2 linked regions of the Oryctolagus cuniculus genome follow. The protein of the gene in region 1 purifies or fractionates together with the protein of each later gene. This does not show direct contact. Links are inferred from orthologs where the notes say so. Each region holds a gene or a part of one and is shown on either strand. Other genes may lie near its edges.

Region 1 (4,384 bases):
GGAGCGCCTGCTGAGACGAGGCCCTGGGCAGGGACGGACAGCAGGTCTGCCTCGCTCCTGCCCCGCGGTCTCTCCAGGGACCAGAGCGGAGGGCCCCAGGCTGTCCATCACCAACAGGCTGGGGCTGCAAGCATCAGCTCCGTCCAAATGAGACGCTAGCTGTCGCATTTAAGCTGTGAAAAAAACCACCGAACACATGAAAAAAGTATTTTTACATTTGGTTGTATTTACTTGAGGAAATTTTAAAGTGTTTCATTCGCTCTGCTTCAAATGGCATCAAATTTACATTTTAAAAAAATTTGTTTAAAGAAATACACATGCAAAACAGAGCATTTCCAACTTTTAATTGAGGCCCAGGATTTCAGAGGAAGCCAATCAAATTATAAACACAATCAAAGGAAAATTAAACAAAAGTCCAGAGAGCTGAGCTGACTTTTGTCCGGCACGCGGGTGCAGCGGGAAGTCACGCTGTGCACGTGCATCAATGCCGCACCGCAAGTGTGTGCAGGACTCTGATGTCAGTTAGAAATTTAAGGGCCAGAAACAAACTCCCTTTGAAACTTCAGAACATGATAACCTACACTTTCCAAATTCCCTCAAAGCCTTCCCAGGAAGTCTCAAAATCTAAATGGAGTCAACTGCTTTCCCTTCTTACATGTCAAGAATCCTATGTAACTGTCCCTGGCTACCTGGCACAGACGTGGGAGGTGGAGAGAGGCCGGCCGGCTCCCCACTCCCCAGGGCGGCCAGTCCCTCGCTCCCCTGCACACAGACCCGGTGCCCTGCGAGCACCCGTGACCCCCACCCCGGAAGCTGGGTGCCTGATCACGCCCCACAGTCGGGTCTGAAGAACAGCCCTCATCCTCCAGCGGAAGTCACCAGGCCGTGCTACTGCACACGGCCAGCGAAGGCCCTGGCTCGAACCATGCCGTGAGTCACGGCGGCGGCATGCACTGCCTCGAGATTTTCATGCTGCTACAATATTTTTTTCTAAGATTTTATTTATTCATCTGAGAGGCAGAGTTACAGACAGTGAGAGGTAGAAACAGAGAGAAAGTTCTTCCTTCCATCGAGCCAGGAGCGTCCTTCTGGTCTCCCACGCGGGTGCAGGCGCCCAGCCGCTGCGATGTATTAACGGCAGCAAAGCACCACCTGGAGAGTCCCTGCAGTCATGCAAGTCACTCGTAACCGGGATCTCCAGAGAGCCAGACCCTCAGCACACAGCTCTGCCTCTGCGCAGCCTCGCACAGGGACTGCCGGCACACGCCTGGACGCCCTGCCCCGGCGTCCCGCACACCGCACCAGCTAGCCCAGCCCTTCCTCTGCACCAGCCCAACCGCTGAGAGGCCCGGCCGTCCGCGTCCCAGAGGCCCCACCCGCAAAGCAACCAGAGCCGTCCACTGTTCGGCTGGACATCAGGGCGTGGATAAGGAACCCCGGAACCTGGATCGGTGGCCCTGAAACAGCAGGGCTGCTCCACCACATCCATCCCACACCGAAGCGCCCACAGCAACTCCAGCTCGAGCACCGCGGCGCAGAGGGGGCCCAGTGCGGACCCCACTCACTGTCTCTTCGCAGAAATATCAGCTGCGTGGGCCCAGAGACGAGAACTCGCGGTGCTGGCTGCATGGTCGGCACCCAGCACCAAACGTGGCCCAGCGAGACGCCTTCCCGAGGTTCGGCCGGAACGGAGGCACTGCTTCCTCCTCCTCCGTCCTGGGTCTCTCCGGTCTCACCTTACACTCCCACCAGCCTTCGGGATTCTAACTACCCCGTAAAGCCCTAACCAACCTGCCCACCAGCATCCCGGGTCAGCCTGGCGCCGACCGCGGCCGTACAGGTGCCTCCGCGTGCGAGGAGCAGAAGCCACACTTCCGGCTACCGCCAGGGCACAGGGGTCTGGCACAAGTACAATAGGGGGAAACCAACCGGCTCGAGCATGGCGCAGCCGAAATAAAGCCTTCAGCCTTGACACGCTCTCAGAAGGGCTACGGCAGAGCGGGCGTCCAGGGCCCTGGACAGCAAGGGGACGCAGCCAGGACGTCACCTGCAAGGGGCGGTCGAGCCGGACCCCCGCCCAGGAGATAGCTCCGCGCCGCCCGCGGACCCCAGAGGCGAGTGCGGGGCGAGGATGCGGGCGGATGTCCCAGGGAGCTGCAGGAAACGATATCCGGACCCGGAGGGTGGGTCTCGGAAGCCGCCAGGCGACGGCCGGGCGGGGGAGGGGATGGGAGCCGGGATGCGGCGCGCGGGGACAGGATGCGGGGGCGCGCGCGGGCGCGGCACTTACCCCACTCGAGGAACTCGGCCACGTACTTGTCGCGCCGCAGGGCCGAGTGGCTGCACTCGGTGTACAGGCACACGAGCACGTCGAGCAGCGTCTCCACGCTCAGGGCGCTCTCGTTGCGCCACGGCCCGTCCAGGAGCAGCTGCTCCAGCTTCTTCAGCCGCACCTTGGCCGACATGGTGCCGCGCCGCCCGCTCTCCCCGCACCGGCCACGCGCCGCCCGCTCGGCCAGCCCGTCAGCGCGAGCCCCGGGGGGCCCGGCGGCCGCGAGTCCCCTCAGCGCCCGGCCGCCGCCCCGTCCGCGTCGCCGCGCCCCGGCCTAGGCCGACATCTTGGGCTCCGTCCCCGCGGCGCAGAGTCTGAGGCGCCGGGCCCCGCGGGTCCATGGGCCGGCCTCCGCCCCTCGGCCACCGCCTCCCGCCCGCCCGGGCCTCAGCCCCGCCGGCGGCCGCGCCCTCACACGGCCGACGCCGGGCGACGCGGAGCCGAGCGCTGCGCAAGCCCGGCCGGCGCCCGAGCCCGACCCCAGCCCCGACCCGGCGGCCCAGCCCCGCGGCCCGCAGCCAACCAGGGCGCGGCCAGCGCGGCGCAGCCAACCGCGGCGGGGCCGGCCCTCGCCGCGCTGACCTCAGCGCGCCGCCCCGCCCCGCCCCGCGCTCGCGGCTGGCTGCTGCGGGCTCGGGCCTCGCCGCTCGCCGTAGCCAGACCGGACGCCGGCGGGGCGGGTGGGCCGCCGAGATTGCGGCCGGCGCGTGCGCAGAGCGGCCGGCCTGCGGGGCGGCGGCGCTGGGCGCGGCGGGCACGAGGGCTGGCCGCGCGCGCTGCCCGGGAGAGCGGCCTCGGGAGGCTCCGGCCCGGCCGGGGCGTGCCGCCCGCGCGTCGGGAGCGCGGGATGCCCCTGCCCACCGCGCAGCCTGCCCTGCCCGCAGAGCTGGCGGGAGGCGGGCCGAGGCCCCGCGCTCGCTGAGGTTGCGGGTGTGTCCGGGTGGCCAGGGAAGGCGGCTGGCGGAGACCCCAGCCGCACCGCCGCAGACCTTTGGCGTCGGGAGACTAGGGCTCCGGGCGTTTTGGGAGTGGGAGGTCGCGGCGGGGGGCGGGCGGCCGGGGGCAGAGCCGGCCCTGGAGATGGGAGTCGGAGGACGGCCGCCTCCGGAGGGGGTCCCAGGGCAGTGCGGGCTGCAGGCCAGGTCCTGGAGCTCGGTCTGGGTGCGGGGTACCCAGGGGCGTAAGTGCACCGCTCTCAAGCCGTACGCTGCCGGCAGTGCGAGTCCCCGGCATCTGAAACGTTCGGGCTCGGCCACCTTTGGGGGCGCGAGGCTGGAGGGGCTCGCAGCGTGCCCCGGCTAGGTCTGGCCCGTCCAGTTAGGTGGAGCTGTTCGTACACAGGTCACGCACTGTACCCTAAATATTTGTTCGCTGTACCGTGTGTGTATCAAGTCTCAATTAAAATAATAATCCCTAGTCGAAACTCGCGCTTTAGGATAGAGCCCAGACTCTGCCGTGGCCCCTGGGGAGGGTGAGCAGACTCGGAGTCTGGCCAGGCCCCCAACCCCCCGGTTTTCACCTTTGTCCCCGGGTAGTGACCTCTGCTCCCACGAGTGTCCCTGTGGACAGCGTGTTCTGCCGCCTGCCCAGCCACACCCCCTTTTCAGTCTCACTGTCCTCTCGCTGGACCTTCGATCCGCCGGCCCTGCCGCTGCTGGCCGTGCTGCTCCTGCAGCGCAGCCTTGGCCGGCGTCCTGGGCAAGACCAGGCCCCCCTGTCCCGCCCAGCACCTGGCACCGTGGGTGCCTGTGAGACCTGCCCGTAGTCTGGAACCACACATCTTCCTGTCCCTCAACGAGTGCGGGCGTAGTAAAGAGAATAACTGGACCTACCTCTGCATTCCACTGAGTTTGAGACAACTGAGTGGGTTAACACCCTTGGATCAGTCCATACTGGGCCTGAGTGCCCGCACGCCAGTGGCGTTTTTTAAGACATTTATCTGAAAGGCTGAGTGACAGGGAGAGGAGGAGAAACAGAGAGAGAGAGAGATCTTCCATCTGCTGGTTCACTGCGATGGCCAGGGCTGGGCCAGGTTGAACCCATGGGAGCCTG
Region 2 (4,494 bases), on another chromosome or scaffold:
GCTCTCTTGCCTTTCCGCTTTCTGCCATGGGCTGATGCCGTGCAAAAGCCCTCACCAAATGCAAGCTCCTCAACCGTGGACTTGCCAGCCTCTAGGATTGACTCTCTGTGCTTTCTAAGTTACCTGGTCTCAGGGATTCTGTTCTGCACAAAGTGGACCAAGTTACCCCATATGAAAGCATCTACACTTTCAGAAACAGAAGCCAGGAAACAAGTTGGGTGCACGTGGGGGATGGTGGGCTGGACAGCTCCACCAAGAGGCCAGGTGTCAGGGCTAGGAATGCACATGCCGAGCCCAGCACTGTGGTCAGGGGCAGCCAGCACTAGGGAGGATGTGGAGTCCCCAAGGCTGTGTCCAGCCTCCTGCCCTCCCAGAGCCTGGCTTCCCAGAGGAGGACAGGACTACAACTGGGCCTTGAAGAGGAGTTGGTAAGGCCACGGGCACCTGGTACCCTGGGGCTCCCTGAGGAGGCAGGAGCTGGGGGCAGCCTGTGTACAGAGATTGGCAGAGTACCTGAGAAGCAGAGCATGTGTGTGAGGCAAGGTCCCAGAGGCAGACCGAGGCCAGGCTAAGTTTGATCATCGTAGAACTCTGAGAACCTTTCAGCAGGGAGAAGCCGGAATGGGAGCTCCATGTTATAGACTGCTCTGGGCGTGGAGGGATGATGATTGGTTTGGAGGGCACCCAGCGTGGATGTCCACAGGCTGTTGCCTCCTCTGGCTGGGGTGGTGGTAGGGAGACGGGAAGAAGTGGAAAGCATTAGAGCCATGTTTAGGAGCCAGAATCACGAGATCCAGGTCAATGCTGAGTCTCCAGGCGACCCCCGTTAAAATGCACCTGCTGGCTTACAATGATTAACTTGTGCGCTTGCAGGGGCTGCTGCTTGGGCAGGGAGTCTCCTTACACAAAGTCCCCTACAGGACTTCTAAATGGGAGGGGCTAAGGCCCCACAGAAGCAAGGCCAGCACTCGGGTTCTAGATGTGTGTGCGCGGGTAAGGCCCGGCCTTCGCCCCCCGTGTGGCTGAGAACAGCAGGTGGAATAACTGAAAGAGCCTTCCAACCCCAGCCGCCTATCACAGGTGCTTGGCTGGTGACGGAAGCCGGCTTCCCATACAGAGCCCTCGGGCAGGGAGGTGGCGGAGCGTGTGCGTGGGCCAGCGCCCCTGTCTGCAGCCGGACTCGGTTCCCGAGACCGGCCGGCACGGGCAGCCCTGGCTGCTGTGCGAGTTTCGGACGCAGTAGGGTCTGGGTCTCCTGTGGCCGCGGGCGCAGCGCGAGAGGCGAGCCCTCCCGGGGCGACGGCCAGCCCCGCGCCCGGCTTCTCCTTGACGCGCCCGGCAGCTGCTTTCCCGTCTGTGGGGCTGCGAGGGCGGCAGCCGGCAGGCGCCTGGGCAGGGCCACGGGCCAGCAAGCCCCGGTGGTGGAGGGCAGGCTCCAGGCGTGGGGTTCCCGGCCCCGCCACGCAGGCAAATTGCTGACAAGGGCAAAGCCACGTGCCAGACTTGCGGGGAAACTGCCTGAGCTTCGGGTTTAATGAGGAAAATGGGATGTTTGGGTTTGGTTTCGTCTGGGATTTGGCGGATGCACCCGGCCCGCCTCCCATCGCGGGTTGGGCCCCCGGCGGCGGCGCAGGCGAAGTCGGGGGGCTTTAGGACCCGGCGCTGAGCGCTCGGACCCCGGCGGCCGTCCCGGGAGAGGCCCGCGCGGGCCGAGGCTTGAATGGGAGGCCGGCGACGTCGCCGCTGAAAGGCCGGCGGCGGAATAGCTCTGCCGTCGCCAGGCAACCGCCCTGACGCAACGCGGAAAAAAGGTCCCCTAGCAAAAGAATAGTGCGGAGAATTGAGAGGCGCGCGGGAGCCGGGCGCGGCGGGGACGGCGGCCGCACCAGGAGGTGGGTGCGCACCGGTCAGGCGCGGAGACCTCGCGGGGGCCGGGGCGGGGATGGCGCGGGCTGGGCGGCTCCCCGCGGGGCTGGCGGCGGCGGGAGCCGCCCGATCCTGTCGCCGTCCCCAAGGGGACGCTGCCCGCGGCGGGGCTGGGGTCCCGCCTCGCCCCCTGCCCAAATCGCGGGGCAGCCACGGCCGGGCTCCATCTTCCGTCTCCTCGCCGGCCTCTCCCAGGGCCAGGATTCCGGGTGGAGACTTGGCGCGCGGGCGGGGGGTGGAGGGAGGGTCTGTGGTCTGAGAGAGAGGGACTCCCAACTCTGAATCCCTGAAAATCTACCTACCCCCAGACCACGCGTGACCGCAGCCCACCCCGTCTGCCCTGTCTACTTGCCGGCCCCAGGGAGGCGGCCGCTGAACTCGGGAGAAGTGACCCGGGGCACATGGGCCCAAGGGTGCTGTAGGCATGAAGCCGGGGTGGTCTCAGGGTGCTTACAGCCAGAGGGGCCTCTGGGAGTGAGAGGATCCATCCTGAAACTGAGAACAACCCTTGAACCAGGGCGAGGGGCACCGAATCACGCAGCGGTGTAGGATGGTGGTGGATGTGTGGGAACCCCTGCTCGCAGCTGGTTTTTATTCCCCATGGTACTTGGAGGCAGCTCTGGGCGCGGCGGCTAGGAGAAGACCTGGAAGGTGGGTGAGCTATGGTCGCTATCCCGTCCCCACAGGCAGTTTCTCCTCAGTCAAGTTTCCCCAAAGTCTGGGCGGTTCCTGGAGAGTCCCAGACGATGAGGCCAGGTCCTCGGGCGCAGGGACCAGAGTGCCCACGGCGGTGAAATTGCAGAACAGCTTCCCTTTGCCACACAGGAGGGAGAGTGGAGCATGTTGGCCAGGAACTGGGAAAGCGGAGGCGGCCGTGGCGCCAGTGCCCTGACAGCCCTGTCTGTAGGACAAGGGGCTTCTGCCAGCGCGTTTGGGGGGCGGGGGGGGGCTTGGCCGAGCGGCGCCTGCCGTCCTTACAGTGGACACAGATGACAGCTCCCCTGTCCCCACCGTGCCCTGCTGAGCGCCTTGGCATCTACAGGGTGCTCTGTCCTCACACCGCCCTGCGAGGCGGGGACTGAATTATCTGCCTGTTGCCAATGGGATTCCCAGGGGCTAAGTAACTTGGTGGTACTCACACTGCTGGCGAAAGAGCAGATTCAGGGTCAAGTGCTCGACTCCTGAGACTCCTAAGACAGTGCTCTCAGGAGTAGAACAGGGGAAGGCTGCTCCAGGGAACGCAAGCGGAGTGAGGTCCAGGGAGGGGGAAGACAGCAGTCCCCAGGTGGCAGCGAGCCAGGGGGTGGGCTCCTCGTAGCTGCCCGGCCATCCCCAGGGCCCTGTGCACCCAGAGACGCCATTCCTCGCACCAGGAGCCTCAACAGCTTTGCCGTGGGGCCTAGCCAGGCTCAAGCCTTCTCTTCCAGCAGACAGAGGAGCCACACCCCCTTCTCCTTGCAGACCCAGAGACCCCCTCCTCCTGTGCACTTGCTCCTGTCCTCCCAATTACCTGCATGGTTTCCTCTAAATTGCCCGCGCCTGCTTCCATGTCCACCGGCTTGGCCTCCCTCCAGGAGGGACTGAAATGCATTAAGGCAGTGCCTGTTTGCTGTGAGAGAGCCACAGCACCCCAGGCCGGTGAGCAAGAACCTACTTGTTAGGCTCCGCACACACACACTGCTGGCTGTGCCTCTAGGTAAAACTTGCTGGCAGAAAACCGCCGTGGCCCGACAGGAGTGTCTGGAATTCCCAGAGGCCTCTGGGAGCTGTGCCATCCTCCACAACGGCTCTGTGGGATGTTGGGTTGCTTGGATGGGTGGAAGATCAGTGATATTTTGAGCTGTTTGCGCCTCGATTTACAGCCCAGGGTCAGGGAGTCCTCACCTGCCACCAAATGGAAATCCCTTGGGATCAACTGGGCTGGTTCTTAATATGCAAATGCACTGTGGAACCCCACCTGGTTTCCCATGTGGGTGGCAGCGGCCCAAGCACTCGGGTTCTCTGCTGCTGCTTTCCCAGGTTCATTAGCAGGGTGCTATGCACCCCATTACTTCAGGATGGTTTCTCCAGTGTGGCTGGAAATTCCTTTCAGGGCTATCCTGGTCCACTTGTGGGACCTGGTGACCCTCCCTCATAGGCTTGTCCCTTGGGACCTGGAGGGGTGGGCCAGGTCAGAGCCTGTTGTCCATGTTGAAGGGCAGGCGTGTAATGAGCCAGGCGCTGGCCTCTGTGGTGGCCACAGCGTCAGGGCTTCTTGAAGGTTGGACTTGCACTTCCTCATTCCAAGAAATCAGTGGAGCTGGGAACAGGAACATCAGGGGGAGGGAACCCTCAGGGGTGATGACCCCAGGAAGCTTCCAGATGAGGATGCTTGGTAGGTGGTCACTTAGGGACCCAGTCCCCACTGTCAGCCATGAAGTCACAGGTGACACTGCTTGCCCGGTCCTATGAGCATTTACACACTCTGTGCGTGGACACCGGGCTAGGTGAGACCCGACCTGGGCGCATTCAGCAGACAGATGTCTCTCAGGTGCAGTTGTGTTGTATTGTTTGCCTGACAGCCGCACT

The links.
Region 2: the proteins of CDC42BPB (region 1) and FAM167A purify together in Homo sapiens (co-immunoprecipitation; 3 studies listed by BioGRID and IntAct, counting the BioPlex papers as one, with this or other methods). This does not show direct contact. The link is inferred for Oryctolagus cuniculus from reciprocal best matches to the Homo sapiens genes CDC42BPB and FAM167A.

What each region holds. Positions count from the first base shown.
Region 1 is NC_091451.1:46,105,764-46,110,147, forward strand, and holds the start of CDC42BPB (serine/threonine-protein kinase MRCK beta), read right to left. Parts: upstream 2,848-4,384; 5' UTR 2,466-2,847; coding exon 2,291-2,465; intron 1-2,290. UniProt on the Homo sapiens protein: Serine/threonine-protein kinase which is an important downstream effector of CDC42 and plays a role in the regulation of cytoskeleton reorganization and cell migration. Regulates actin cytoskeletal reorganization via phosphorylation of PPP1R12C and MYL9/MLC2.
Region 2 is NC_091433.1:43,032,335-43,036,828, forward strand, and holds the start of FAM167A (protein FAM167A), read left to right. Parts: upstream 1-1,491; 5' UTR 1,492-1,892; intron 1,893-3,238; exon of another isoform or gene 3,239-4,494.